2 linked regions of the Drosophila melanogaster genome follow. The protein of the gene in region 1 purifies or fractionates together with the protein of each later gene. This does not show direct contact. Each region holds a gene or a part of one and is shown on either strand. Other genes may lie near its edges.

What was found. Proteins that work in one complex are often made in the same cells at the same time.
Region 2: the proteins of Slh (region 1) and gammaSnap2 purify together in Drosophila melanogaster (affinity purification with mass spectrometry, with the first as the bait; one large-scale study listed by BioGRID). This does not show direct contact.

What each region holds. Positions count from the first base shown.
Region 1 is NT_033779.5:2,487,648-2,494,272, reverse strand, and holds Slh (SLY-1 homologous), read left to right. Parts: upstream 1-1,601; 5' UTR 1,602-1,752; coding exon 1,753-1,780; intron 1,781-1,854; coding exon 1,855-2,014; intron 2,015-2,071; coding exon 2,072-2,760; intron 2,761-2,830; coding exon 2,831-3,540; intron 3,541-3,594; coding exon 3,595-3,927; 3' UTR 3,928-6,076; downstream 6,077-6,625. Other genes in the region: oaf (out at first), read right to left, coding at 977-1,243. UniProt on the Drosophila melanogaster protein: Non-vital for development.
Region 2 is NT_033777.3:10,119,840-10,123,107, forward strand, and holds gammaSnap2 (gamma soluble NSF attachment protein 2), read right to left. Parts: upstream 1,562-3,268; 5' UTR 1,536-1,561; coding exon 684-1,535; 3' UTR 560-683; downstream 1-559. Other genes in the region: ATPsynepsilonL (ATP synthase, epsilon subunit-like), read left to right, coding at 2,187-2,381; knk (knickkopf), read right to left, coding at 2,685-3,268.

The sequences.
Region 1 (6,625 bases):
CACTGTGCTTGCAAGACGCAGCTGCGCAATGAGTTCGGTATATTGAGAGGTCATTCTTAGAATTTGACTATCACGAAGAATATGACTGGCGTCAAAGTACCGTTACGAGTGAGGCGACGGCGTTGTCGCGCTGTCGCCTAGTTGGACTACACTAGCGTGTGTAAAGGATAGATCGATGCGTAGAAAATACGATCAGTTGCATACAGACGATCGCGCACGCCGGTTGGAATTCGCTTCACTCAACATGGGAGATCAGGCACAAGAAAATGTCAACGCTGCGACATATGCATGTACATACATATGTACATAATGGCGTTGCAAGCATATAGAATAGAGCTTTGTTTTATGGTCATCAGGCATCGATGGATTATCTGGCCTACTTAACGGTATACTAATTAGATATCGGCGAAGTACAAGCTCACAGAACATGTTTCCATTCGGAGAATCCTGTATTTTGCATAAATCAATAGGGGACATGATTTGTTGTGCACATGTGTGCTGCACGAATCAACGTGGGCTGTGTATGCGTGTGTGCAATCCTTTACATTTGCAACTTATTGGATGAACTGCGTGTTCTTAAGAACGAACTAAGCATTGTTTATGAAATACCGAATCCTTGCTAATTCTAAAAGCAATATATTGGCGTATTTTACAATATGACTAGGCAAATTTTAAATTTCAGATACATATACTTGTCATATTCTACTGTCATAGCTGTAATAACTGTCACTGAATTACTATCTTTTTAATATTTAATTTGTTGTTTTCGCAGATTTGTTTATTTGTCTTGAGCACCTCTCTTTCGCTCTCTCATTCTCCCGCGTTTTAAATTTGTTTTGTTTTGGCGCGCAAATTTTCGAAATGAGATGTTCGAAAATCAGATGGGCAGCGCTGCCAGCGTCGCTGTTTGTCGTTGTTGCGTTTTGCGTTGTTGGGATTTAAGTGTTTTAAACCATTTTTTTTTGCGATTTCGCACCTGATTTTGGACGTTAATGAGCAGCTGGGAGTGGGCGAATGCGTCCGCGTTCATCACTAAGTTGCACAGCAGGAACCACAGAAACGCGCGACTGTGCTTGAAAAAGTGATTTTTACTGACGACGCGACCGCAGCAATTGCCGTGCGCTGGTGTTCGAGTGCGGCTGAGTGCCTTAAGATGCGCCATTCGCCAGCGGACCTGCGCCTGCCTTGCCGCATTTGCGGCAGTTTCGATGCTCTGGTGTGGGTGCTCCTCCTTTAAGATCATTGCGATCCGACAACTTTTAAATAAAATCACAAGAAAGCACAACGAACCACTCGCGTCGACGAACGAAAAATAACTGGCAGAAAATGGTGAAACTGACTGAAACGTGACTTTTCGAAATCAGCTGACAGGTGTGACCGTGCGGTAATCCCAAAGGGTGCTGCCAACCTTCTCGAACAGGAGCCTACGAATTTCGATTGTAGAAAATATACCAACCCAATATAGCTGCATTACACTGGCACACATATCTATATCTATAGAATAAATAGACTACATTCATTTTCATTTAGTATTTAAATATTCATATTGGAATTTCCACTGCATACGTTCACACCAGCCGCACAGCTGATGCCTGTACTATGCACTAAAATTTCCCAAAACGCGTTGCCTCGCCGTCGCTTGTGACGTGTTGTTTTTTTGTAAAATATGTTTTTCAGCTGCTAAAACGGACATAGATTGTTGAAAATCCACTGAAACTAACTCAGAAGGACGGGCTAAAGACGGACTATATAATGCTGACCCTGCGGGAGCGCCAAATCAGTGAGAAACTATGAAAACAATGCCCCCATTGAAGGGAAAACCTAATTAATGGATTTTCATATTAATCATTGCAGATGCCATTAAGCAGATGCTTAATTTGAACTCGCAGCAGCCGAAAGCCCTAGCTGCCGAGCCCGTGTGGAAGATCCTTATCTACGATCGCGTTGGCCAGGACATCATATCGCCCATTATTTCCATCAAGGAGCTGCGCGAGTTGGGCGTGACGCTGCATGTGTAAGTTGTGCGAGATCCTCCAGGAATCCAGAAATTATAGCTTTGGTTAACCTCCAGGCAACTGCACTCGGATCGCGACTCCATTCCGGATGTGCCGGCTATATACTTCTGCCTGCCCACCGACGAGAATTTGGACAGGATTCAGCAGGACTTCTCGAGCGGACTGTACGACGTGTACCACCTGAACTTCCTAGCTCCCATAACGCGCAGCAAAATCGAGAATCTGGCCGCCGCAGCCCTGCATGCCGGCTGCGTGGCCAACATCCATCGCGTTTACGACCAGTATGTGAACTTCATCAGTCTGGAGGATGACTTCTTCATCCTAAAGCACCAGCAGAGCGATCAGCTTTCATACTACGCCATCAACCGGGCCAACACCCGCGATGAAGAGATGGAGGCCCTGATGGACTCCATTGTAGACTCGCTCTTCGCCCTGTTTGTGACCCTGGGCAATGTGCCCATCATCCGCTGTCCGCGGAACAGTGCCGCTGAAATGGTGGCACGCAAGCTGGAGAAGAAGCTGCGCGAGAACCTTTGGGATGCGCGTGCCAATTTGTTCCACATGGATGCCACGCAAGCCGGCGGCGGAGTGTTCAGCTTTCAGAGACCTGTGCTCCTGCTGCTGGACAGGAACATGGATTTAGCCACGCCGCTCCATCACACCTGGTCGTATCAGGCGCTTGTGCACGATGTACTGGACTTGGGACTGAATCTTGTCTACGTGGAGGACGAGACGGCTAGTGCGGGCAAGTAAAATTACTTTTATCAAGGCGCTGAATAACTGAGACTCACCAACTACGTTTTCCTATTCTTTAGGAGCCCGCAAAAAACCCAAGGCCTGTGACTTGGACCGCAACGACCGCTTCTGGATGACGCACAAGGGCAGTCCATTTCCCACGGTGGCCGAAGCCATCCAGGAGGAGCTGGAATCCTATCGGAACTCCGAGGAGGAGATCAAGCGCTTGAAGACATCGATGGGTATCGAGGGCGAGTCGGACATTGCATTCTCTTTGGTCAATGACACAACGGCCAGGCTCACCAATGCCGTCAATTCGCTGCCCCAACTGATGGAGAAGAAGCGACTGATCGACATGCACACCAAGATCGCCACTGCAATCCTGAACTTCATTAAGGCTCGACGACTGGATTCGTTTTTTGAGATCGAGGAGAAGGTCATGTCGAAGCAGACACTGGACAGACCGCTGCTGGACCTACTGCGAGATGGAGAGTTTGGTCAGGCGGAGGACAAGCTGCGCCTGTATATCATCTACTTTATCTGCGCCCAGCAGTTACCCGAATCGGAGCAGGAGCGGCTCAAGGAGGCGCTGCAGGCTGCCGGTTGTGACCTAACTGCCCTTGCGTACGTGCAACGATGGAAGGGAATCATGAACCGCTCGCCGAGCATTAGCCAAGCCACACAGTACGAGGGTGGCGGCACCAAGACTGTGTCCATGTTCACTAAACTCGTCTCACAGGGCAGCTCCTTCGTGATGGAGGGCGTCAAGAATCTGGTGGTCAAGCGACATGTGAGTTTCTCTTTCCAAATTCAAATTCAAGTTCTATATCAAAATTGTTTGCAGAATCTTCCGGTGACCAAGATCACCGAGCAGGTGATGGAGTGCCGCAGCAATGCGGAGACGGATGACTACCTTTATCTGGATCCAAAGCTGCTCAAAGGTGGCGAGGTCCTGCCCAAAAATCGTGCTCCATTCCAGGACGCCGTGGTGTTCATGGTCGGCGGAGGCAACTACATCGAGTACCAGAACCTGGTGGACTTCATCAAACAGAAGCAAACGTCCAATGTGCAACGGCGCATCATTTATGGCGCTTCCACGCTGACCAACGCGAGGCAGTTCCTCAAGGAGCTCTCCGCCCTGGGCGGCGAGATCCAGTCGCCGACGGCGACGAGTTAGGAGCGGCTGCTCCGATTCCATTGCTGCTGAGCGGAGTGGACCGGGTTTTGGTTGCATGTGCATGGGTGTCTGTGTGGCTTCTTTCGTTTACTTTAAGCATATCCAAAAATAAATTAAATGCCAGGCAAAAAAGAGAAGCAAGCGAACGCAACGGCAGAGCCAGAGCTCAGCACTCGGCAATTACTCCAACCTGACGCTTAATCCCCGAAGGACAACAAGCAAAAACATGCGTAGCCTCGTGTACAACAAGCCCAGGGAGCTGGTGCCAGAGCTGCTGGAATGGGAGCTTGGCGGCGGGCAGGGGTACTCGCATTCTAGGCACCCATTAACACCAACTTGGCAACGCTTTGATGGACAGCTGACAGACAACCAGTCAACGGCTGAGGCGATGATGGCCCAGCCATCCCGATGCCCGCTGCCTTCGGCGGCGGTGCCACAATTATGGGGCGACAACTATGCGCGGCACTTGGGGACAGGCGCAGAAGCTGGCAGGGACAGCACCCAGCAATTAGCACTATCCCTGGCCAACTATGAATGGATCGAGGCGAGGCAAGTCGCTGTCGATGGCATAGCCAGCGCACTGGAGCACTAGGCGCATTTTTTCGAAGCACTGCAGCTCTGATTGAATGTCGCTTCCTTGGGAGACGGGCAGGCAGCCTGGCAGCCAGGCAGGCCAAGTCCATCAAAGAAGAGCGTTAAATTATCCCTGAAAGCCCATCTTTGGTTTGAATTGGTGTTGCAAGAAAAGATGATGTAAATGAAAATTCTAACAAGTAGGAAAAAGAAGTGGCAGGAAAAGGAATGTTTTAAGAACCTTATTAACCGATACCAAATTATAGAAATCAATTGTAAAAACAACGATAGAGAATGTTTATAGAATTGATTCTACAGATTGGCCAATGTAGTAAAGTAATAAAATCTCTAAGATTTTCCTCAATTTAATGGCATTTGACCAGCGAAATGCTGAAATTTTCCCCATGAAATGAAAAAGCTCGAACTGAAAATATTTCCAATGACATTCAGGCCACTGTAGGAAGTTTCCCGAGATAAGCGGCAAACAAATACCACAAAAAATGAGTAAAATATGGTGGAGAAAAAAGCGATCCGTGGGCTAATTAACACTTTTGGTAAATCAGAATTGATGGCCCTGATGAAAGGCCGAAGAAGAGATGATGACGATGACGATGATTATTCATGGAGCGTTGAGTTTAAATATTGGTTTTGGTTGGGCAGCCGGGCAGGGGTTGGGTTACTATCCAGACTACCCGTGGCCACAATTTAAATGTTAACATAAACAAGAGCAATTTAACAAAAGCCCAAGACCCAAAAAAAAATCCAAGAGACTCGAAAAAAAAAATAAATAAATAAAAGTACAGGGGAAACGAAAAGTCGAACTCCCAGCCAGAAACTGGTAACCCAAAGTGATTTCACGGGTGGTCCGAAAAGATGCGGCTCAAACAAATCATAAGGAAAAAATGAGAGGGAAAAACGACTACAGAAACTAACAACGAGAACGCAACATGAAAGAAATTCTTAACTTGCCACATGCATGAATCGATTATGTGGTAAATGCAACTGTCGCTGTATGCGTGAGTATCTGTGTGGTGTGGATCTCGTAGCCAGCGCAGCTCCTCCGCCGTCGAGACCCAAAAATCGAGAAAAAAAATAAAATGGTCAGGCAGCCGTTTCCCACATTCCTGCTGTGAATCATAATGGCTGCCGCTGTCGTCGTCTTGCTGGATGATTCTGCCGGATCCGACCGACCCGCCCGATCCGCTCGCTCAGCGCCCCAGCCGCCCAATCTCCGCCAGCACACCGACACACACTCGCCGACATCCCATACATATATCATAATCTTAACAACTCTTAACAAGGCAGAACAAATTCCAAAATTCGAGGAGCCCGACTCGAACAGCCAGTCAGGCAGTCGGACGATCCCACAAAATGAAGTGCCAGCCAGACAGAGAAGGCGATCTTCAGACACAGCTTCAGCTTTAGCTTTGGGTTGGGATCTTTAGACCCAATGAATGGACTCGAAGTGGAGAGTCTGCTGAGATCTGGTCAGATATGTGGGTTCATATGGGAGGGCATAACCCTTGTGGTTTTGATGGTTTTTATAAGCGCAATATAAGTTTTTCCCACTCTTATTAAACATCAATGTTTGATATTGTACACAAGCAAAAAATAAATATATATACATATGATCCAAAAAAATAAATATAAATAAATGTATTTGCAACCTATGAACTGTTTTGGATATGCTTTAGTAGTATATACATACATCTATAGTTTACTTCAGCTGGAACTCCCTAACACATGTCCATCAACTTTACATTCTAATTTTGTTTGATCTGCGCCAGACCTGTGGACTCCCACAGTTGGACCCTTGTGTTATCCTTGTCAGCATTTTGTTGGAATATCCCATTGTTGTTCCCAGCCGGGATGGTGCTACCACAAACATTTTCTGGGCATCGCCGCCCTCGGTGGTCCGCTTTTGGAGATCGGGAGCGGCATGTTAATTAATCAGCCAAATAATAATACAGCACCCATCGGCGGAGAAGAAACGAGCCGAAGCGCAGAGGTAGAGGTTCCAAATATTTGCCGGCAATAAAAGAGCAGCGCGGATGGATGGATCATCCTGCGAGGAGTAGGAGTTGGAGAGCAGGAGGAGGAGAATGAGGAGCTGGCTTGTTAGCGG
Region 2 (3,268 bases), on another chromosome or scaffold:
CCGGCCACACTTCATCATGATTGTTCGTTGCGAAATGACACTGCGATTGGAGCGAGTGTCCAGTGGATAAGTTTATTGATGGGACGGCTAATTATACACATGGTCTCAACTGTATCTTATCTGCTGCAGATACAAGCACGGCGAAGAGTCCAAAATAATCTAAAGTCCAATAAGCCGATTGATAACTCAAAATAAAATTAGGGCTTAATGTTAAGCTGGGCTTCCTGATCAAATTGAACACGAATTTCTTAAGTGAGAGCTCCAATTATTTGAAAAGAATTTAAAACACATGCTTTAAAGATTTTTTCGTGAATGTATTTGTCAATTTTAATTTTGAAAACATTTTTTTGTCAAACGTTGCATATTATTAAGCGAATATAATTTTAATTAGAACTCGATGTTCAAAACTATTAGTATAATTTTAGGGATATGTAAAAAATATGTATAAAATGCATAAAAAGTAGTGTAAAAGATTGAGTAACAATAAATTTAAAGGTAAAAAATATGTTTCGTATAAAAGTTGTGGAAAGGCATTATAAATTCACCTGATGCGTTTTCTGAGTTAGCACTTTTTATATTTTTGTATATTTTTAACAGTGTACCTACATTTATGAAACTTTTTCACCTAAGGAACAATAATAAAACTACTACAACATTTATAAACCACATTTTGTAAAAGCTCTTTAGTTTGCGGCATTGTCGACTGCATTTTTGGTCATTTGACGATTTCCTTTTGGTAATGGCACATCTTTAGATAAAAGTGCGTACTCCACGTCCATGTGTCTTATGAATGGAGATGCCAGCATCTTGGTGGCCAGCTCAGGATCCTCGTCGTCAAAAGCTTTGAGTAGGTTTTGTAATGTGTTCACCTCCTGGGGATCACAACGGTTTCCCCATTTCTTGAAGGTCTTCTTGGCATCCACGTAATCCTCTAGTGTTAATTGTACCAGTATTAAAGCAACTACTAAACGGCCAACTTGTCCGTAAGACTTTGTCTGCAGATTTAGGCTTATTTCCTTTTTGAGGGCTTTCGTGGCTTCTTCATATTTTTTGAGTCTGACCAATATCCGGGAAACCTTCGATGCAAATTCCGATGCCTGATGAGTGGAGTCCCCAATCAAGACGACTGCCAGGGCGCGTTTGTAAAATCCCAAAGCCAAGTCAGGATGCTTGGATTCCGTCATTTTGGCGGCTTTATCGAGAGCAGCAGCTGCTGCTTCCGGCGAACCATGTTGCTGGTAGAGACAGCAAGCCCTATTGGCATAGTCCTCCACTTCGGACAGTTTGTCCGTTTCTTTGGCAAGCAGGATAATCTGCTCGTAGGATTTGGCTGCATGGAACCATGACTTGTTGTTTTCGTAACAGTCGATGGCCTTCAAAAGACAATCCTTGCGCTTATCGAAACTTTTGGCAATTCGATATGCGGTTGCTGCCTTGAAATACATACCAGCTTTGGCATACTCATTCGCGGCACTATCCGTCTGTCCTATCAAGGCCTCCGCCTCTTCTATCTTTTTGGCATCAAGAGTGCTCATAGTGCTAAGTTACAACCTTTGCGTGTTGAAAAAATCAATTCAAGTGACTTATATTCAAATAAGTGTGCCCAAGTGCGCAAGTGCCGAGAAAAACACAAAAGGCCGCTCCTTTTCTATGCGGGTATGACACTGGTATTATGGTAATATTAAGTGCTTTACTAAAGTTGCATAAAATATATATTTGTATTTAATTAAATAAATGCATACCATATAATATGCGAGCTTGGGGGGTGAAAAGTAAGCTATATTTACATTTCATGTAAGCTGGATTTTGAATATATTTAAAAAATTGTATCGATTTGGTTTCAAATCGAACTTTTATCGCATCCATAGAACTCCTAGTTCGATTAAGTTTGTAGCCCTGTCTGGATAAAAAAAAAACATCGATAAAAAGACACGTGCTTTGCCTTAAAAGATCTTAAAGTGAGGAGGTAGCAAGGCGCTTTGATTTAACTTACTTTGATATTGTAACTTAATGCAATTAAATATTAACATAGGCTTTACCAATCGTGTGCGAAATCTTGAAAAGAAACCCGTCGCTCGGTTTTATATCGAATTCTTAACGGAAGAAGGTAAGATCCTTTATATGCAGATAGCTTTTTTTGACTTATTATCCTAACATCTTTATAGTTAATCCCATATTACTGCAAGATGAAAGCCTGGAGAGATCTGGGTATTACCTATATCCAGTATTCCAACATCGCAGCCCGTGTGGTGCGAGAGGCCCTGCGCATTGAGCTCCGTGCAGACGCCGCCAAGCGAAACATCAGCCATGTGAAGTTCACTCCGTGGGTGAACGGAAAGCCTGTGCCGCGCAAGAAGGTAGAACGTGAATCCGAATCTTAGGCGCCCATTTCGGTGATTTGTACACCATGTTTCATCCAGAATAACAGCTGCCATGATTCTACAATAACATTTCAAATAAATCTAATTCACTGAAAAAATGATGTATATTAGATTTTTTGTTGGGTCAAAACTTCATAGCTCATTCTTCTAAAGTACAACACAGTTCTGTATTTAAATATCATATAAATAATAATATACACAACATTTAGCATACATTCTACACACGCGTATCAAATACATAGATTGTGACTGCTTAATTTAGACTAAGACACTAAATAGGAGAATCTAAGAATGAGAAAACAGTCAGTTCTGGAGCACGAGCCACGGTAGCAGGATGATGCACAAGGACCAGGATAAGCCCATCGATCCACTCTTCAAGTTGGTATAACTGTCCACGATGTGAATCTTCCAGCCCATATTGCCATGGGTAAAGGAGTTGTAGTACACAGTATCCGGCCATGTGATATTCGGTGTAATTTCCAATAGAGCCGGTTCCCCTTCTACACACTCGGTGATGAGGGATCGATTGAACTTCTTGAAAGTGGGGAAGTTATCATCCAGTCGACGATCACTATTTTGAGGATATCTGGACAGGCACAGGGGACCAGCAGCCGTGGGCTTGGGCCTGCCTCTCCGGGTGAATTCAACACCGGCTAATACACGAATCTCACTCTGCTTTGCATCAGACAGTCGGTCATACCCACCCTGGGGATCATCGGTGATAACCAACGGATGATAGTGCTCCGGCGAGTGAGGATTATTGCCACCCCTAACCTTAAAGGTGTAGGTCAGACCACGCTTTAGGTAAAGCTCTGGAATCATGTAGCCGTTGATGTACCAGGCCAAGCCACTGGACACATGATTCGTCAATCCCTGATAGCCACGAA